Linked DNA regions of Arabidopsis thaliana. The protein of the gene in region 1 interacts with the protein of each later gene in a pairwise test. Each region holds a gene or a part of one and is shown on either strand. Other genes may lie near its edges. The genes, in order: TOE2, WRKY41, SEC and PYL1.

What was found.
Region 2: the proteins of TOE2 (region 1) and WRKY41 interact in binary tests that used the Arabidopsis thaliana proteins (3 or more experiments, as listed by UniProt).
Region 3: the proteins of TOE2 (region 1) and SEC interact in binary tests that used the Arabidopsis thaliana proteins (3 or more experiments, as listed by UniProt).
Region 4: the proteins of TOE2 (region 1) and PYL1 interact in binary tests that used the Arabidopsis thaliana proteins (3 or more experiments, as listed by UniProt).

Annotation. Positions count from the first base shown.
Region 1 is NC_003076.8:24,205,944-24,212,274, forward strand, and holds TOE2 (target of early activation tagged (EAT) 2), read left to right. Parts: upstream 1-1,745; 5' UTR 1,746-2,209; coding exon 2,210-2,742; intron 2,743-2,879; coding exon 2,880-2,905; intron 2,906-2,994; coding exon 2,995-3,025; intron 3,026-3,130; coding exon 3,131-3,218; intron 3,219-3,291; coding exon 3,292-3,437; intron 3,438-3,810; coding exon 3,811-3,899; intron 3,900-4,027; coding exon 4,028-4,218; coding exon of another isoform or gene 4,219-4,341; exon of another isoform or gene 4,342-4,352; coding exon 4,353-4,466; intron 4,467-4,635; exon of another isoform or gene 4,636-4,818; coding exon 4,819-5,124; 3' UTR 5,125-5,151; exon of another isoform or gene 5,152-5,518; 3' UTR 5,519-5,800; downstream 5,801-6,331. Other genes in the region: AT5G60130 (AP2/B3-like transcriptional factor family protein), read right to left, coding at 5,928-6,188, 6,273-6,331.
Region 2 is NC_003075.7:6,757,348-6,761,310, forward strand, and holds WRKY41 (WRKY family transcription factor), read left to right. Parts: upstream 1-1,750; 5' UTR 1,751-1,955; coding exon 1,956-2,308; intron 2,309-2,449; coding exon 2,450-2,578; intron 2,579-2,930; exon of another isoform or gene 2,931-2,956; coding exon 2,957-3,416; 3' UTR 3,417-3,447; downstream 3,448-3,963. Other genes in the region: 3xHMG-box1 (HMG (high mobility group) box protein), read right to left, coding at 3,551-3,658, 3,754-3,838, 3,915-3,963. UniProt on the Arabidopsis thaliana protein: Transcription factor. Interacts specifically with the W box (5'-(T)TGAC[CT]-3'), a frequently occurring elicitor-responsive cis-acting element.
Region 3 is NC_003074.8:1,114,921-1,122,505, forward strand, and holds the start of SEC (Tetratricopeptide repeat (TPR)-like superfamily protein), read right to left. Parts: upstream 6,014-7,585; 5' UTR 5,803-6,013; coding exon 5,652-5,802; intron 5,286-5,651; coding exon 5,140-5,285; intron 5,049-5,139; coding exon 4,950-5,048; intron 4,869-4,949; coding exon 4,818-4,868; intron 4,698-4,817; coding exon 4,581-4,697; intron 4,468-4,580; coding exon 4,411-4,467; intron 4,238-4,410; exon of another isoform or gene 4,006-4,237; coding exon 3,886-4,005; intron 3,770-3,885; coding exon 3,707-3,769; intron 3,614-3,706; coding exon 3,535-3,613; intron 3,433-3,534; coding exon 3,323-3,432; intron 3,229-3,322; coding exon 3,175-3,228; intron 3,103-3,174; coding exon 3,035-3,102; intron 2,958-3,034; coding exon 2,855-2,957; intron 2,763-2,854; coding exon 2,560-2,762; intron 2,165-2,559; coding exon 2,068-2,164; intron 1,958-2,067; coding exon 1,886-1,957; intron 1,799-1,885; coding exon 1,722-1,798; intron 1,623-1,721; coding exon 1,421-1,622; intron 1,152-1,420; coding exon 984-1,151; and 10 more. Other genes in the region: AT3G04250 (F-box associated ubiquitination effector family protein), read left to right, coding at 7,030-7,585.
Region 4 is NC_003076.8:18,983,032-18,986,509, forward strand, and holds PYL1 (PYR1-like 1), read right to left. Parts: upstream 1,887-3,478; 5' UTR 1,698-1,886; coding exon 1,032-1,697; 3' UTR 509-1,031; downstream 1-508. UniProt on the Arabidopsis thaliana protein: Receptor for abscisic acid (ABA) required for ABA-mediated responses such as stomatal closure and germination inhibition. Inhibits the activity of group-A protein phosphatases type 2C (PP2Cs) when activated by ABA. Can be activated by both (-)-ABA and (+)-ABA.

The DNA.
Region 1 (6,331 bases):
TTGCTCTCAAGCTATGTAGTAGTCTTAGAGATTTAGACAATACTAATGAATACAAGATACCATAAGATTTGATACAATATGTTTGTGTTATCAACGTTTGATCGGATATGTGTTTTTTTTCTACTTATAGCTATTCATTCAATGAAAATCTAAAAGAAAATTGAGACACAGTTGATGCAGAGATAATTTTCTCTAGCCTTGATAGATTTTTACAATGTGATATTGTAGGAACTAGGAAACACATGCTTCATTTTTATTTAGGCCATGAATGTTTGTAGTTTTTAAAATGGTTTTTGGATTTTGGATTTTGGTTTTTGGTTTTTAGTTTTTGATTTTCTTGGTTTTTGTTTTTGGTGTAGATTTTAGTTTCTTAAAAAACTTGAATGGTAATTTGTTTAGATTTTGGTTTTTATGTTAATGGATAGTATTTTTTTTACAAAACAAATCTAAAAATAAAATAAAAAATGTGATCGATTGTTTTTGAGAGAGAAACTCCCAAAACATAGATTTTGGTTTTCTTTGAAAAATTGTTAAAACACTCAAAAACTAGATTTCCTATATTTTAGGAAAACTTGTTTTCTCAAAATCTTGAATGGCTACAAAATAGATTTTAGAAAAAATTAAAACCAAAAACTAGTTTAAAAACCACACTCATTCAAGGCCTTACTAAAACTTGGCTACAAACAAGGCGAAGATAACATACATCATTCAATTTCAATAGTAATTAATGTGTCAAAACCTTAGAAATTAAAACAAAATTTCATCACTATGTCCAGTAAGAAAAACTAAAGCTATCAAACCTGATGTTAGTGATTTTTTTCCCCATCATCTTTAACTATTTTCCATACACATTCGTTTTTGTAATAATAACAACTTCTTAAAATGATATAACTTTTGTTACTTTATGCATGTAATTGTTGATTATAGCTAGCTTCTACACCTTTTTCTAACATGTGACACATTTTTTTTTACATGTGACACATTTGTTACGTTGGTTGGATACTTGTTATCCATATAAATCAATAAAAAGTCATATTATTCTATCTCACTCTTTTAAGTCTTTACAGATTTTTGTTTGTGAGGAGGACGTAGCTGCAAATATAGGACCCGCCATTAAATGAAAACAAATGCTTTGTCTTCAAAGCTATGAATATGTGACTTCAAAGTGTTTTTTGGTTTTTATGTGTCTTCAAAGTTGTGAATATAATAGTGTAGATTCGCTTTTCTTTACCAATCTTTGTTTGCAGATTAATAATAAGATATACTATATAGGATACAAAAACGAATTTCGTTTGATTCATTCTATAAATTTGAATTACTAAATCACTTTAGTTGAGTTTGTTCAAGGATAAAAAGTGAAACCCCAATTAAATTTGATGATTTTCAGATGTGTTTACAAAATGTTTCGAAGAACACGCTTCAAATTGATTTAACCAAGATGAACACATCCATTAAATCCTCATTCCATGAACAAAATGCACCTCATTGTCCCTAGGCCTTAACAGATCTATTTAGTACTAATACTGTATTTAATAACTTATCTTGGTAAAGAAATCACAGAAAAGCTTAACACATACAGTTTAAACCGTAAATTTATCATAGTAAAACTGTAAAAGCACTAATCATAAATTTAAACCAAGCTAATAAAACAAAAACAAGTAGCACGTTTTTACTTCAAACCGGAAACAGGCAAAACCGGTATCAAATTGCCGAGAAAGATGGAAGGAATAAATAAATGTTAAAATGTTCCTTTGTTGCCACTAACCCACAGGCTTACGTCCCATCATCATTCCCCGTTCTCTTTTTATTTTCTCTAATCGCCGACGATTATCTCTTTCGTCCGGCGATAGCTATTTTGTCTCTTCAAATCCCCATAGACCAATACTCAACTCTTCATCTCCATGTCTCCTCAATCTCATTTCTCTCCTTAGTGATTGAGCTTTTTCCTTCTTTCTCTTTGGTTATTATTCCTTCTCCTCCTCCGTCGTGTTTTTGATTGATTTCAGAATCTAAATCTCCGTTTGATTTCTCCATACTCGTGCTGATTTTCACCTATGTAATGTGATTTATGAGCTCTGTTTATTTCAAATCGACGGCGATCGTTGAATTTATTGATCAATGTGTAAGTAAGAGCTTGAAGAAATAGTTTTTGTTGTTGTTGTGAAAGCTCAGAGTTTTGTTTGCTTTTTTGTTGACTTTTTTGAGATTGATGCTGGATCTCAATCTCGACGTCGACTCGACCGAGTCTACTCAGAACGAACGAGATTCGATTACTGTTAAAGGGGTTTCTTTGAATCAGATGGATGAATCGGTGACGTCGAACTCTTCTGTTGTTAATGCTGAAGCTTCTAGCTGTATAGATGGTGAAGATGAGTTGTGCTCTACACGAACGGTCAAGTTTCAATTTGAGATACTGAAAGGAGGAGGAGAAGAAGAAGAAGAAGATGATGATGAAAGAAGTGCTGTGATGATGACTAAGGAGTTTTTTCCTGTTGCTAAAGGCATGAACTTTATGGATTCGAGCGCTCAAAGTTCAAGGAGCACCGTTGATATTTCCTTCCAGAGGGGGAAACAAGGTGGAGACTTTATAGGTAGCGGGAGCGGTGGTGGCGATGCTTCACGGGTGATGCAGCCACCATCACAGCCGGTGAAGAAAAGCAGGAGAGGTCCTAGGTCTAAGAGTTCTCAGTATAGAGGCGTCACTTTCTATCGGAGGACAGGCAGATGGGAATCGCATATCTGGTATATCTACTACTGATTGATTTATCTTTTAGATAGGTCTTAGATGAGTTGTTGATCTTTGGTCGAAAATGGAAGAGCTTGGTTTAGATTTTGTATTAATCTACAAGTTTCTTTTTTGTCAATTTTCATGGTTGCAGGGATTGCGGTAAACAAGTTTATTTAGGTATGGATTCTAATGGCTGTACTACTGTGAACTGATTTCTGCTGGGATCTTAGTTCTCTAATAAAAGCTTTAACTTTTGAATTCAATAGGTGGATTTGATACTGCCCATGCTGCAGCTAGGTAATGCCTTTGGAAATGATATTTTTTTGTTTGATCTTATTGATCACTCAACTGTTTTTTCGTTATGATACAATTGTTTCCTAAGTTCAACTTTCGTTGGTGTAGGGCGTATGATCGAGCTGCTGTCAAATTCCGGGGTCTGGAAGCTGACATCAATTTCGTTATTGGCGATTATGAAGAGGATCTCAAGCAGGTTTTGATTACAGATGTACAAATGAAGACATGTACGCTTTGATTTGTTCTTATCTGGTTTTCAAACTTTACAGATGGCGAATCTTTCCAAAGAGGAAGTTGTGCAAGTACTTCGGCGACAGAGCTCTGGTTTCTCAAGGAATAATTCTAGATATCAAGGAGTTGCTTTGCAAAAGATTGGCGGGTGGGGAGCTCAAATGGAGCAGCTTCATGGAAACATGTAATTAACTTTTCCTGGGATCTAAGTATGGGCTTTTACAAATGCTATGTTATTTGTGTTTTTGTCTGAATGTGGTTGTCAGTCATTGCTAAAAAGAGTGGAGTGGTTCAGATGAAGAGTTTGGTAATTTTTCGTTAGTTGAAAAGGGCTTCTGTTAGAACCATTAGCAGGAAGACCCGTTTGTGATTATGAGTTATATATAGAGATTTTGATGGCTATGAGACATTTATATCTATCTTGGGATGATTGTCATCTGAGTATGAGCTGTACGCTAGTGATGGTTGTAAATTACATTATGAGGAAGTCTTTTATCCTGAATTATTGATCTATTAGGAAAATTCATGACTAATTGCTCAGATTCTTATGGAATTAGGGGTTGTGACAAGGCAGCCGTACAATGGAAGGGAAGGGAAGCTGCTTCCTTAATTGAGCCTCATGCATCCCGAATGATTCCCGAGGCAGGTAATGTAATTGATGTTCCTTGCTTGTTAAACTGGTCGATGCTATGCAGCTTTTGCTGTCATCATTGATATCTCTGCTCAATATTTGAAAAGCTACGACTAACTTGTTTTCCTGATCTTATTATTTAGCTAATGTTAAGCTCGACCTCAACTTGGGAATCTCTCTTTCACTAGGAGATGGTCCGAAGCAAAAAGATAGGGCCCTCCGGCTTCACCATGTCCCTAACAATTCCGTATGTGGAAGGAACACCATGGTGCAATTTTTTCTTCAGTGCACCAAATATGATTTACTTTACTTTCATATGCGTTTTGCTGCAACTGTTAGTCAAATGTTTCTTTGTCGATATGTCATAGCAATCTGGAACTCAAAGATACTGTCTCCTTTGCTAGCTCGAGCCCTCATGTTTTTTCATTTATTCATGAATTTCTTGCTCTTCATTTGATATACTCACAGATGGAGAACCACATGGCTGCAGCGGCATGTGATACGCCTTTCAATTTCTTGAAGAGGGGTTCAGACCATCTTAATAACCGGCATGCCCTTCCTTCTGCGTTCTTTTCACCCATGGTAAATAGTAAATACCATAGCACACATCTCGTTATATCCAACTGTTTGTCACTGCCTCACAATTTTTACCTTCTGTCCAGAACTAACATACAATATGAAATAGAATGACAATTTTAAATTTATCGAACTTTACCCTACCTATGAGTAATTTGTGTGATATGAAATTCAGCTAGATGTTCATCAAGTGGTTACTGTTGTGATATTTGATCAGTTAAGTACTTGAGCTCAACTCTTTGATATCCTTTGAGAACAGGTCTATGTTGTTGCTTGTTAGTTCTTCTTCTATGTTGTGATATTCTTGAAGATTTGAATGAATAATCTTCTGTCCTAAAAGTTAAATTCTTGTCTCCAGGAAAGAACACCAGAGAAAGGGCTTATGTTACGTTCTCATCAAAGCTTCCCAGCCAGGACATGGCAAGGGCATGATCAGTCCAGTGGTGGGACCGCCGTAGCAGCTACAGCACCGCCACTGTTTTCAAATGCAGCATCATCAGGATTCTCACTCTCAGCTACACGCCCTCCTTCATCCACAGCTATTCATCATCCTTCTCAGCCCTTCGTCAATCTGAATCAGCCCGGTCTCTATGTTATCCACCCATCTGATTACATATCTCAGCACCAACACAATCTCATGAACCGCCCACAACCACCACCATAGCTTCCTCCTTCCTCCGCATAACTCAAGGTAAGACTTTCTTGGAAACAACAACATTCAACTCATCGTTTGGCTCAGCACACAAGCTGTAGTTTCCTCTTCCTGTTATACGTTACGTTTACAATCCAAAAGAAAAAAAAAAAAAATTTTGATAGAAGACCACTAAAGAAAAAGAGTTTGAGATGTTTGTATTCATATGAATCTTGATGGAAACATGAAAAGTATGATGAATGCTTAGCGAATAGAAGAAGACTAAGGAAGAGTTCCAAGTTGTGTAGTATTATCACCCTCCTGTTTTCTGCTTCTCTGTCAATCTCAAACACATATTTGAGGCAATAGTTTTCCTAAGATCCTACAATACTACACGTAATAACATACTTTGTATGTGAACGTGCAGGTTCTACACAGCCCTGAGGTTGGAATAAGTTGGAAGGCCAGCCAAAACGACGCTGAATTCTCCCAAGATCTGTTGTACTTATTGTCATTGTGTGATTTATCTTTCTGCTTTTGATTTGTAACATAAACTGAGGGATAATACCAAAACAGAACCCAAACCCATTTGCCATTTTACTATAATGTCTCTGATATTAATATGAACAGCGTAAAGTACAATGCATTCTATATGTATGAATGAAGAAAGCTATTGAGACTTGAGAGACTATAAATTTGTATAGATCTGATAAGTTTTAGAAATTAAAAACTCTTACATTAATTCAATACACCACAATAATCTTGATTTAACTCCAAAACACGTAACTAAAGACAGAGAGATGGAGAGAGAGAGAGAGAGAGAGAGATATAAATAATCATCCACTGATAATGTGAATCTTGATTGTTTGAACCAGGTTATTATCACCAGTCTTCTTGATCTCAAATATCATCTTATCCGTTGTCTTCACTTTATTCCTTCTGATGATACTGCCAAATCCCTTGACAAACACACTACCATTTGTCTGAATCTTGATCTGCTTCTCCAATGTCCCGAATTTTTTCACAAGTGGATCGACAAGAGTGATACTCTCAGGGAAGTGCAAGTCATAGTCTTTGATAACCCGAGCTGGGATGAGCTGCTTTATGAAAAAAAACATCATAAAAACTCACAACCCAACGATGTTAAATGAAAAGCTCTTTCACATTCAGTTTTTACTTACCAGTTGGCTTTTCTTCTTCGGATTAAGGATCAGAGTAAAAGATGGGTTCTCACGATCAT
Region 2 (3,963 bases), on another chromosome or scaffold:
ATATGAAAATGTTATCATTCAATATGAAGTGTGTAGAATTTAAATCGAGTTTATTATGATGACATAGATAGTTAAACTGTATTACAAAATTGAATGTGTAAGATATAAATTTATTTTTTCTTTTTCTTTTCTAGATATTAAATTAAATATAGAATGATGATCGGTTACTTTTTAGAATTCAAATATCATTCATAAGATTGAGTGTGTATAATTAAAATAGAATGGATAAGACTGAAATTTTGTTTAAACCAATAATTATTAAATTAAATATCAAGAAAAATATATTGATTATTATACAAATTTCTATCGATAAAACTTAATTTTTGTATCTTAGACCCGCCTAAATAGCAGATGCTGAATTTAAGAGAATAAAAAAGTTAAATTTTTGTATCTTAATTTTTATATAATAAGATTCTATTTTTTTTAAGAGAATAAAAAAATTAAATTTTGAATGACAAATGTAAACATCTGATCGTTTGACTTGACACGTGGCACGATTCTATGAGTTAGTAACTTAATTAGCATATGTAAATTTGTTTACTTTTTAAGATTTTCTATTTTTTTAAGAGAATAAAAAAGTTAAATTTTAAATGACACATGTAAACATCTGATCGTTTGACTTGACACGTGGACACGATCCTATGAGTTAGAAACTTTGAAAACCATACTTTATATAATAAGATAAGATTTTTAAGACTCTAAATATTTGTTTATAGTTTAAGTATACACTAATGCATCACAATGTCACATTAACGTATTTAACTTTACACAACACGTAGGTACGTGGACTTAGTAATGAAAACGGATATACTTTCAATATGTTATAGCAAAAACTAATCTTCCAAGTCCATTAAGACAAAAAATCAACTAATGGCAGTAAAGTTACAGATCAATCATGAGATATGGAATTTCAGATGGAACTTCTTTTAATTTGATACACTTTGAGTCTTTGACGATGGATGGACTTGGTCAGCAGAAACCTTTTTTTACGATCTTGTATTGAATTATGAATGTATGTGTCATCTCACTTTTCTCTGTAATAGTTTATGGTTCATTTCATACAATCATACTGTAACTTTCTAAGATATCATGGAATTTTGTTTACATCTTTAAATGTTAGAAATTAATTAGAATGTCAAAATACAGTTGAACTTATTTAGTTAGCTCATCCTGATTTTGTACTATATTTTATAATTGAGATTTGGTATCTAATATTTGTGCTATAACTGCTAGTCTGCTATGCTATATATTTCATATTTAAATCTGGTAGACTATCTGAAGATGTTGAACACAAACAAAATAAATGATACAAAAACGGTTGTCGTCAATAGAATAACAAGTTATACAAGAAATGGTTTGTTGCTACCAAAATAGAAATCAATGTAATAGTACATTTTGCAGATAGATATTGAAAAAGAACCTTAACAAAGTTAATACTTGGAAAAGGTACAGTTTATTTCTATCCTAATAATATAATTATTTAGTAAACCACTAGATTTAAATAACTAATCAACTTGGTTAAACTAAAATAAACCCAAAGTTGATTTGGTCAGCATTTGACCTATAGTAAACACCACCACTTATACACTCTGAAACGATATATTCTTAATGAAGACCAAAGACTTTCTCAACTTTGAATCTTTTTCCTATTTGTTTAATAGTTTGCTCACTTGGTCAAATTTTCAAACATATCTTTTAAAACCTTTAAATTCCAAAAGAACACGCTTCGTTTTAGTACATTCTCATCATTCAAATACCAAAAATCTCACATCTTTTTCCTAAACCACAATCACATGTTCTTAATCTAAACCTTACTATAAAAAAGTTAAAAAGCTATCACATCTCTTCACCTTCAATGTCAAAAGTTTTTCCAAAAAATTCATAACTATTTCTTCCGGTCACCGTAAACCGGGGTTTTACCGCCTTTCGAATTTACTCAAGACACTAAAAGTAACATGGAAATGATGAATTGGGAGCGGAGGAGTTTGCTAAACGAGCTAATTCATGGACTAAAAGCGGCCAAGCAGCTTCAGGGTTCGTCTTCTCCATCGTTGTCAGCTTCTTCTTCATATTTGACGACGGAGATAAAGGAGAATCTCTTACATAACATAGTTTCTTCCTTCAAAAAAGCTATTTTGATGCTCAACGGATCCACCACACAACACAATCCAACGATAGAGCTTGCGCCTGATCCCCTAGCTCATCCCGGAAAGGTTCCAGGATCTCCAGCATCGATCACCGGAAATCCGAGAAGCGAAGAGTTTTTCAATGTAAGATCGAAAGAATTCAACTTAAGTTCTAAAAAGAGGTAAAAATTTGAACTTAAATTAGCGTTATAAAGAAGAGAAAAGCTTATTAAAATTTAATAATAATAATAATAATATTAGAATTCAAAAAAAATAGCCAGATTTTTTGAATTAGAGATTTGACAATTAATGAAAATTTGCAGGAAGATGTTGCCAAAGTGGACAGAGCAAGTGAGAATTAGCCCAGAGAGAGGCTTAGAAGGACCTCATGACGATATCTTCAGCTGGAGAAAATATGGCCAGAAAGACATTTTGGGCGCCAAATTCCCAAGGTACATCATCATACTCTATCATCATCATCATAATCATCATGTTTACGAATAGTACATTTGTTAAAAGATTGGTTAATAGCAGCGGATAAATGTTGAGTATAATTATATGAGTAATATATACCTAAAATTACTATTCAAAGTGTATTCTCATATTAAAAACTATTTTGCATAATTTAAATATCGAATATGTAATGAATAATTCTGAATATAATACAAGATAAATTAGATATTTAAAATTATTATCCGAGTTTGCTATATGAAGGTCGGATTTGTATATAATCAGATAGTTTTTTTTGGCTAAATTTACGTGGCTTTAAGAAGAAGAAAAAATTAGTTTTAGTTTTACTAATTTAGGACTAATTTGTGTTTTTATTGCAGGAGTTATTACAGATGCACATTTCGTAACACACAGTACTGTTGGGCTACGAAACAAGTCCAAAGATCGGACGGTGATCCAACGATCTTCGAAGTAACATACAGAGGAACACACACTTGTTCACAGGGGATCCCACTTCCAGAGAAACGAGAAACCAAACCAAAACACACAGTAGCAGTAAATTACCAGAATCTCAGGGCCAGTCTTACCGTACGTACCGGCGGACTTGGAAGCGAAGCTTTCTCATTCCCCGTCACGTCGCCGTTATACACTTACGAGTCCATCAACGGTGGTGGAACGTTTTACCACCACGTGGGAAGTTCTGGTCCGTCGGATTTCACTGGATTGATCTCAACAAATACTTCCACAGGAAGTTCTCCAATCTTCGACGTTAATTTTCAATTTGATCCAACGGCTGAGATTAACACAGGCTTCCCCACTTTTTTCCACAATTCGATTTAAGTAGTACAGTATTGAATATTCTTGAGATTAATATAATCCCGATTAGCGCCTAGCGATTTAAGTAGCAGAGTCATTTTGCATAAGTAGAGATGTTCAATATGAGCAAACTTGAACATTCTCTAATTTTTCTTTCTCTACGACGAAGTCTTGGTCTTATTGTACTCTTCCACTTCTTTCTTGTAAGCTTCCATTAACTCAGCAGCTTTGCTATTGTAAACTTGTTTCTCCTCTTCACCAAGTTCCTACAACAAAATTGTAACCAAAACCAACTCAATTTCACAACTAACAGTGATAAAATCTTACTCGTTGGATTCGAGTTTCATGATTTATAATATACCATCCATTTCAATGAAATGTGAGCAGTAACAGTTGAGTTGTTGATCCCAGGATGTTCTTCTAACACACTCTTTCTTGCGTCTTTGCTGTAAAAAGATTTGAGATTATAAAACCAGTTTAGCATCTGATTGTTTTGTGGATTCAGGGTTTTAAAGTATATACCAGAAGAGAAAGTATGAAGAAGTAGGCTTTTTGGGTTTGTTAGGATCAA
Region 3 (7,585 bases), on another chromosome or scaffold:
AGTGAAGATAATTTGATCAGGCTGTACACCTTGGGCAGCAGCATCTGGATATAAGGTCAAAAAAATAAGGTTATAAACGATAGAGAAAGCAGAAAGAACAAGGAAATGCTAGGCGATTGAATGGAACCAAACGTACATGTGCGAAACCTCATCTCTCCGGCTGCTGGAAAACGGAGAAGCCAAAGAGCACTGTTGGGTACTCGTTTAAGAATGTTGCACCTATAAAAAAATAAAAACAAATCAGTTTGTGCATGTATAAATTTACATCTATACAGAGTGTTATTTATGGTATCATGATGGTGTAAGGTGTCATACGTAAATTTCCAAACAAACTTGCAAAGCTAAGGAAAAACGTTTACCAAGTATTAACGATCTCAGGATCCATTTTGTACAGTTGGTTGAAGCATGCAAATATGAATTTGTCTTCAGGAAGTCCATAGTCTGATCGCTTGGGCTTCGAATTTGGATCCAACACATCCTGATTTTTCTGCAAACAGCATTTATACGATGAGTTTTATAAAAATAACTGTGGACCTGATGAATGTACAATAACATGGTAAAGAAAACTTTCTCGGAGCATACCTGCTTGTAATCATTGACAAAGTAGCAATGGGGAAGGTGGACCAGCTTCTCTGAGTAAATATGTGCATATTGCAGAGGAGACACGAACTGAAAAGTAAAAGAGAGTAACCAGTCATGACATAGAGAAAAAATAAGGTTGGAAAAAAAAAATGTTCTGAAGATATCTAGAAAACTATAATTCAATTGCAAACCTCATCAGTCACTAGATAGTCAATATAGGTTGCTCCAGTGGTACCCGGGAAGCCCATATATGAAACCTGGATCGGAGCAGGCTGCATGGCAAATATTTCATTTCTAGCCCCCTGCATAGGTTAAACCAAACAATGTTAGCAAAAACATTTCCATAGGAATGGGTACAGCTCCAGAGTAAAAAGTTTCTGAAATGTTCAGAGCATGCATGCCTTGGTATAACCGTTTAGATTGATGAGGATCTGGATTTTGTCTTGGTTTATAATTTTGGCGATAGCATCAGATGACATAGCAGAAACGTCCAGGAAATGCTCGGCTTCTGACTGGATTCGCTGTCTCCACTCAGTATTATCATTTGCACTCAGAGCATAGCAGAAAACCTGGGAAAAAATGTGATTTACTTTGCTGAAAAGCCAAAAACAGGATAGGCAGATACAGAATGATATACCATCAATTACTAAAGTTCTATATTCCACACACAGGACCCGTACGGTTCCATACATTCCTACCATCATAAGAACTAAACCCAGCATGTACGAATTTTATAGCCTCACTAGAAAACACTGGGTTGAAGAACTCAAACTCTCGATATAAAATCAGAGCAGACCTAAGAAATGGATCAACAAGTATCCAAGTGCAGGATACAAACCTCAACGTTTTCTCTGTTGTGCATCCCAAACACTGATCCCATGAGGTGTGACAACGGATGGTTACCAAAATCACTGCTCACGTATCCAATCCTTAATCTCTTAAATCCTCCCTCACGTTTTACAGGGAGCCCAGCTGGATGGGTAAAAGGAGGTAGTCCAAAACGAGAAGCGATTATGGAGCAGTGTGCAGCGTATTTACGACTGAAAAAATAGGGGATTTATAAGAAATAGGCATATACATAAAGATAATATAAACATGTATTTTCATGAGTATTGAGTATTAAAAAATCAGCCTCAAACCTGATTTCAAGGGCAAGAATAGGGTCAATAGGATATGCTATTGCATGGAAGGGCTGGACACTTGGAAGGACCGACATCTGAAGATAGGATCAATAGGATATGCTATCACCTTAATCTGTAATAGTATATAAGTACCACAAATTTTGTGTGGCGTAAATACTTACATTTATTTGCCTCCTAATAATGCTTTCAACTTCAGCGAACATTTTGCTACGGTCCTCCCAACAGCATACACACTGGTTCAGCAGCAGGAAAGAAAAAATGGAGACGAAGGGAGAATTAACAAGTAGAGAAGAAAGAAGCTATCATAACAGACGTGTGACATCAAACCAGGAAAAATAAATACCTGTAAGGTGTGTAGAAGGTTGCACGTTGCTTCTGGGAAGTCTGGTCGTAGAAGCAAGGCCTGCTTATAGCTCGTAATGGCAGCTTCTACATGCCCACTGCTTATGCAAGAAGGTGCAACAAATACATTAATAGTAGAACAAATATTTTTCTGGTCAAACATACTAACTCCTCAGTTAAAAGGTGGTCATTAACTCATTGTTATACTGCCACATCTTAAATGTTCTAAATCCCAGAAAACAAGAGCCTAACACGAAACCACCTTAAGAACTGTACGTAGAGATATAAAGGCTTCTAGTGAAGTAGGAAAATTGTAAGTAATTTTAAGATATATGACACCATAAGCTATTCAAGAACCATGAAATACACAAAATTCTTCTCGAGTCAGATCTTTTCGTTCAAGGTAAAGATGTTTTGGCTCTGTTCTTAGCTAAGCGGTATTTGAACATGTGTCTGGTATACCTAATAAATGAAAGATAAAGACAATGGTTACCTATCCTTGTAAGCTGAGGCCAGGTTTGCGTGAGCTTCAGCCATTGTAGGCCGGAAGTTTATAGCATGCATGTAATCCTGAATTGCTTCAGTTACCCTCCCGATCTCTTTGTAAGTATTCCCTCTATTAACCAGAGCGTCAGCTGCCAATGGGTCAATACGAAGAACCTCATTATAGCAGGATATAGCATCCGAGTAATTTCCCTGTAGTAAAGGAGAAGAAAACAAGCTAAATTTGTCAAACATGAGCAAGACTACAAAAATGATTAAAAATTGATAATGGAGCACGTAGCTACCTGTTGCTTGTAAATTATAGCAAGGTTATTGAACGGAGCAGATAGCCCTGTAGTTACAGCCAGAGTAGCCTTGAATAATGAGGAAGCAGGACCCATCATATTCCTGTTTCAAGTTGTGAAATGGATTTTATGGTCATTTAGTCTTTTCTATCTAGCAAAAAGAAAGAAAGGATCACATACCACTCCATATAAATGTTTCCAAGATTAGCCATGGCTTGTGGATGATTTGGTTGTAAAGCAAGACATTGCTGCAGTATAACCACAGGTTTGTGAGTAATACGCAAATTCACTAGTAAGTCTCAGATGGAAAACACACATACATTATAACACCGAACTGCTTCATCAACTCGCCCAATATCCTTCAATGCATTACCCTTCAAGTTCCAAATGCAAAAAATATCATATGTTAGATACTGAGAATTATAGTTCAGACACAAAACCCACAAAATGTGTGTTGTTGATGCTAACCAAGTTATTGTAAGCCTCCAAAAATCGTGGATCCCGGGAGAGAGCCTGCTTGTAGTGTCGAATTGCTAAATCTAGTTGACCTTGCTCATAGTATATACTGGCTATATTCCCTGCATTTAGTAGTTATATGTCAATTATGAAAGACGTCACGCATTTACTTGGCAAGTATATTTTATTTCAGCTGAGCATTTAGTTGATCAAATTACACTCACCAAATGCCATTGCAGAATTTGGCCGCATCTGTAAGGCATGCTGATAACACATGATCGCTTCAGTAGGTCTCCCGAGGGCCTTAAGACATAGAAATATAAAATTTTGTTACTACTATTGTCCAGAAAACATTATTGCACTGAACATATCTTAACACACTATACGTAGACATACCTTATACACGTTTCCTAAATTTAAATATGCATCAGGGAATGCAGGTTTCAACTTCACAGCTTCCTGGTAAATTAAGAAAATCAGCCAACATAGTTAAAACATAAAGAATTTAATCTGGGGGACAAACGCACACATAACACAATGTCAACAGGATCTTTCTAGGAGAGAATGAAGCATACCTTGTAGTATTGAAGGGCTCTGTTGAGATCACCTGACTCCATGAAAAGACCAGCAAGATTCGACCATGCAATAGCAAATGTTGGTTGTATACGAACAGCTTCAAGGTAACAACTGTATGCCTGCACAAAATATTACATTCTAACTATTTGGACTCTGGCAGTAGACACTGACTATAAGACTGACGATCATCCCTGCTTGCCTTTCAGTAACAACTTGATGTCTGTATTGATTGTGGATTATGACACAGTACAACACAGAAAAATGAATGCATCTATTAGTAATTGCAGTTGATAAACCAGTAAAATGACTACAGATGTGATGCTATATTCCTAGTGCATCACGTCACCGTCCATTTAATTATAATATATTTTGGTTCAATTAAAAGTTCTTCTGCAATGACAAAACTTTGATCAATCAATTGTAGAATTAGGGGCCGCATCCATAACTAGGACACAAGAAAATTGCAGATAATCGGGTTGGAACAGTAACAGAATAACTTAAATAGACTAATTCGAAAGACTTACTTCATGAATCAATCCTTGAGCCTTCATCAGATTCCCCAGATTACTATGTGCGTCAACCTAAGAACAGTTTACATTACCAGGTGAGAAGACTAACAAAAGAAGATAGACAGTGAATCTCCCAGCAGTAGTGAGACAGAAAACTTAAAAAGAAGGATCATAAAGTCAATTACCAGAAGTGGATTCAATGAGAGGGCCTGCTGACAGCATTGTGTTGCCTCACTGAGTCTTCCCTTTCGCATGTATGCACTTGCCAAGTTCGACCAAGCATCAGCAAAATTGGGCCTCAGCTGAAGAATTATATTGAAAAGAAAGTGTAAGCAAGGGGAAATGAAGAAAGGTAAAAGCATCAGTATAGGATGAGAAGTGAATAGCAGATATCGAGAAGCATAAATTGGATATAGCACAACCTCAATTGCAATTAAATAGTAGCGGATTGCACGATCAGTGTCCCCTTTTTCCTGGAAATAGCAGATTACAGATATAAGAATATATGTATTGGCAATAAAACCACCTGATCAGACAAAGACCAAGCCATTCACCTTCCACGCGTTTGCCATGTTTCCATAACACTCAGCAAACTGAGGTTGAATACGAAGAGCTTCTTCATTTCGAGCTATGCACATATCATACTCTTGAAGCTGCACGGTATATACCATACAAGTAAACAACTAATTAACCGAAAACAAGAGGATAGAGTAATGACTAATGAGATAAGGAGAAAAATAGTACCTGGTAATAAATAGCACCAATTAGAAGAAGATTATCAGTGCGTAATGGGTTTCTCTGGTAAACCATGTTGCTGTGCTCCAGGGCTTGTTTGAAATCGCCTCCTTTGTATAGCTGATGAGCAAGAGCCAGGCGTGCGTCATCATCACCTGCACGAAACGCTTACAGTAAACATCAGCACAATCATTACCAGTCACATTCTCCCAAAAGAAGTTAGCTTTTTTATCCTAAAACGAACAAACCAAATAACAAAGCTAAAAACTTTGCTCGCCCAAAAGTAGAATTCCCAAAAGTCAAGTAGCAGTTAGTAGCAAGTTTGATTTCACCAAATCTAATGATCTTTGAATTGTAACATAACAATTATACCTAGAAAAGGAAAATTAGATCGCACAACCTAGTGTTCTTAGTAAAACAGATGGAAACTAACTTCCACAAGGATCAGCTGTGAAGATGCGATTACACAAAGAAGGGACATCGAAAAAAAACAAAAATTTAAGCTCGTGACAAATCAGAACCTTCATGAGTCTTATTGAACTGCTGGAGGAGGCTCGAAGAAGACGAAGAAGAGACAGACAAATCAAGCTTTCTAGAGAAGACTTCATCAACTCGATCGGAAAGAAAGACAGGTCGGGAGATCATGGCAGCTCCGTTTTTGGACGAGATCATCGCGTCTTAATGAAATTGAACACCAAATTCCCCCAGATCACAAGTCTCCGGGACTTGGCCGGAGAATCAAAACACCGATGATAACGCAAGAGAGAAGAAAAGGGCAAAACCCTAAATTATCAAAATTCGTTTTTTCCGACCTCAGAAGCTGTAGCTTCGTCTTTCCTCTTTAGCTTTTATTTGCCTTTTTTTCAATTTCCTCTTTCCGACCAATCAAGATTTCACACATATAATTAGACTTAATATTTGACACGTGTAAATTTCAACGCCGTTGATTTTACGTATCGGGGTCAAAGAGTCAACAAAAATCTGGACAAAACCAAATTCTTTTGTCTTTAGTTAACACGTGTCTAAGACGCAACAGTGTTTTCTTCTCAAAGGTTGTAATTTACAATCCACCCAAAAACAATCTTTAATCTTTCCCAAATAGTGCCGCAAAGGCATTAAATGTGCCAACAATAAAACGTAATCCTGATTAATTACCTTAAATATATTGAGAAAAGAAAATAACAAAAAATTTACAATATCTTCCTCTCTTTGTCTACTCCAATATATTTTCTTTAAATACAAAAAAATTGCATACTAAATCGAATTCAAGGGTATCACAATTCTAATCTTATTTGAACTTAACTGCATGTTTACTTGATCTTCTTTTTCTAGAAGTAAATATTAAATGTCACAAAAATGAAAACAATTCACATTTGATTTTAATTAAAGATGGACGCGTGTTTTGGCAGCTTCCACTTATCAAATGTTTCAATTAAAGATGGAATTTAAGATACTGTTTTAAATTCCAATAAGCCCATAGTTAGCCCAGCTTCATACAAACTTGATGCTCTCCCCATACAAATGGTCATTGTTGGTAAAGAACTTGGATGTTATGAATGTGATTACCAAAAAGAAAACAAGAGAAGATTCTGAAGCCCACGATTGGGCCCAACTTCAAATTCCTATGTATAGTCTTCTGCGGGAAAAAAATCAGAGGAAAAGAAGAACACTTTTTTAAGGTTAAAAAAAAAAAAACCTTGTTGCAACTTGAGAAAACGACAACGATGATCTTAAATCTTCCAAGGGATTTGATAGAGGATATTGTATCTAGACTTCCCATGAAGTATATGAGGACATTGAAATTAACTTGCAAAACGTTGTACGCTTTATCCCAAAGTCAGAGCTTTATGAAGCTGCACATTAGTAAAGAAGCAGCACCGCGTAGAACAGGATATGGACATGTACAGGTACGCTCTAGGGTACGTGAACAAGAACAACTCTTGTCGTAGCCACAAAGTCTTGAGGTTTATAGATCATTACATCTCTTCGGCCGTGAACCACGCACCCGAAAACCGGTTTTCATGGTATGAAATCTACGATATTGAAACCGATTTATGGACAACTCTTGATGTCCCTCCATATTGGATAGTATCGTGTTATCAGCGTGGTGTTTCTCTCAAGGGAAATACCTACTTTTGTGCTACAAAAAGTAACGCAATAAACAAAATCGACGATCACATAATCTGTTTTGATTTCACAAGTGAGAGATTTGGGCCACTTTTGCGTCTACCGTTTAGCGCTGGCCATGATGACTATGTGACTTTATCTTGTGTTAGAGAAGAGAAGCTTGCGGCTTTACTTACGCACAACGACTGGAATCCATATGAGTTTGAGATATGGATCACGACTAAGATCGAGTATGATAAAGTGTCGTGGAGCAAGATCTTGGAAATGGATACAGGACCATTGGCTGACATGCCGATTGCATATATACATGGGAGTTTCTTCATTGACG
Region 4 (3,478 bases), 5.2 Mb from region 1:
AAAAGAAATCGAGTACAGTTTATTTTTGTTGGTCAGGCACTTAGCCACTCAGGCTCATCAGACAAAGCGATGACCATAACATAATTATAATTAGGTGTATTGACAAAAAAAAAAAGAAAAAAAAAGGAGGATCATAATTAGATGTAAAAAATGGTGAGCTCTCTCCAAATTTTAAAATGAAAAATAAAAGAGTTCAAATTATAATGGGCTTTTTCGTCGTTCAAAGCCCTTTCCCCTTCAACAGTAATTAGTTTTTGAACGTAATAATGTTACTGGAGCGCGAAAACTTAAGCAAAATTAGCACAAAAATACAAAAATTAAATTTTACAACGAAATTGTAAATAAAAAAATAAAAAAAATTATTGAACAAAAAAAAAACTAATGCAACGGTTTTTTTTTTTAGGTTTTTTTTTTTGTCATTAACGCTAGAAAACAAATAATTTTGCGAATTTACGAATTGCCAAAATTGACTTATAAATACTGCCAATTTTCAGACATTAAGCTTTTATTCGTTTTATTATGAAAAGTTACTACACACAACACTATATTAAAACATACGCTATAAATAAATATGTATCGAAGAACAAAAAAAATATCATTATTTTTCCATCTGACCTAGAAATCTATTCCATGCATATATCATTTCAAATACAAAAATTGAATAAAACAAGAATACTAATAACCTACAAAATAGTACAATCTACACAACAGTTAAAGAAAACTAACTACTATAATTAGTATGTTATCATTCCTGTATAATTTATCTTGTCAACCAATTGAATAAACGAACTACTATAATTAGTATGTTATCATTCCTAATTCTATGATATAACAAGTATGTTATTAAATTTAACCTATCTCGACCATTCCAATTATCCAGGAGACTGATTTTTTTTAAAAAATAAAACATAACCATAAAATCAAACAAGGAAATTACAATTCAAGAGAAGAAAAAAAACGTTTTACAAATCAAAATAAAAATTAAAACTCCCCCAATTTAGAAACATTTTTCTTTCCCCCAAATTTCATCATTACCTAACCTGAGAAGAGTTGTTGTTGTTGTTGTTCCGGTTCATAGCTTCAGTGATCGAAGCAAGTTTCTGAAGATTCAATCTAATAACCGTATCAGCAAACAATCTCGTATCTTCCTCCGAATTACCTTCCGGTACATCAACAACATAAGATTCCAAAACAACGGTCCAGATCCTTTCTTCTTCTTCTTCTTTCTCAAATCTATGAACCGTCGTAACCGATTTATAATTCCTCAGCCTATGTTCACCACCGGTTATACTAAACCCAGTCACTCTCCGATCATCGTCCAACAGATCTAATCTCTCTCGAGACGTATTCGCCGGTAATCCACTTATCACGTTCACGTCGCGCGTGCATCCCACTCGCATCTCGAAATCTTCACTCACGTTACAGCTTTTGATGAAGTGTTTGTAAATCTGTGGCCTATCGAAACGTCTCACCACGGACCATACTGTTTCCGGCGGCGCGTGGATTCGCTGAGCTAGGAGAGATGAGCAACGGCCGTTACCGAGTTGGTACGTGTGGAACTCGGCGATTGATTGGGAGAGTTGGGTGAATTCGTCTTGAGTTAAATCGGAAGGCATGGTTTGGTGATGGAGTGTTGAGATTCTCTGGCTGTTCTCTTCTTCGTTTACTGGTGAGGAGGAGGACTCTGAATTCGCCATTGATATTGTTTGTTGAAACTTGAAAGAGAGAAGTTGAAAATTTGAAGGAAGAAGAAAGAGAAGAAGGGTATATTTGGAATTTAATAGACTTGAGTTTTTTTTAATGGCTATCACATAAATGTCATTAGGCACTGAATCTTTCTACTTTTAGTTGATAATTACTATATTTGTAGACACGTACATCAAAATTAGTAACTATTACAAATTTACGTAATATTTTTGTAGATTCTAAAATAATACTACAAAAAAAATATATATCCGTTCATTATAATAGATGGAATTATTTTGCTGAATTCGAAAAATCTGATTTAATTTAATGAACAATAACACACAGTTTAGTTAGACTTATCATATTATTCATCCATCTATATTCTGATTGAAATGTATAAACTATATAGTTAAAATTATATATATATGATACTAATTAAAAATATCTTGAACGAGTTAAACTATATAGTTAAAATTAGAATAACTCATTTTATCATATTCTTCATGAATTCCTACTATTTTATATTAATCATCACTTTGGTAAATATATTACAAATGAAATTGGTCAACTCGTAATAGAAATGCAATTAAATTATAAAATAAAAAATTATTTACGGGAGTTGAATTATTTTTTTGTTGGCAACCGTAGAAATTTTGATTAGATGCTCAAATATAGAATCATTATTTATTCGAATGCATTTAAAGGTTAGCCATTAGCCTTTGTTCGTGAAGCTATTATAAGCCTATACCTATATTACTTATCTTAATCTATAACTCCCAATTTCTCTCGAAACTAAATAATTGTAAAGATTAAAACAATTTTCAGTTACATAAAAAAAATATACTTGTAAAGATTAAAACATTTTACTTGTACTAGAGAATTTTTATCAAGTGATAATTAAATGTGAGCAACTGAGCATGAAGCCTCCGTGTCATATACTTACTAGTTTTGGCCATGTTTATTTATCTGCAACCGAAATGGGCAAATTACTTTTTTCTCTTATCACCTTGACTTTTGTTTTTTCTATTAAAATTATTTTTAATATTATGGCTGTGAATGGTGACTGCGTTTTGCGGTACGCAAAAAGTGCGGTGCGGTTCAAATAGTAATGAAAATCAGCACTGTTGCGATACGGTTTTAAGTGCGGTTTTGGTCACCATTCACAGCCTATAAATCATTATACTTTTGTCCAAAAAAAAATATAAAAAATCATTACAGTAAATAGTTTATTTTTTGTTACAAAGATATAATTGGGTACGTAAGAAGTAGAATCCAAGAGATACGGTAGGTACAAGTTATAAATCATAAAAAGTAGTCTCCAGCTGTTTTTTTTGGCGTCTTGTAGACATTTAATTTTTATGTCAAGTATATACTTGCACATTGCACTTGTATATCAAATTTGATGATTATAACAATGATTTAGTTAAATATCCAGAGTGTAAAATTATATTGCTAAACACTATACCTAAACGATTTTTCTATAAAATTTTATCATTACGCTAAATTAATTTTTTCAAAATTTTAAATGAAAAGGACAATAGTGCTCTCAAACTGGTATGATTAAATTTTCCTAAAGTTAAAGTTAGAAAATAATTAATATATTTATGAATAGATAGATTGCTATATATATTCTTTAGCATTATAGAGATAATAAAAGTATCAAAAAGTCCATTTGGTGGAATAATATTGATTCTGATCATTGCGAATTTTTTTATTCTAAAAGGCTTGAAAGAATTTTCAAATATAATATTTTCAAGAATCCACTCACCATGTTATAATGGAATGTACATTG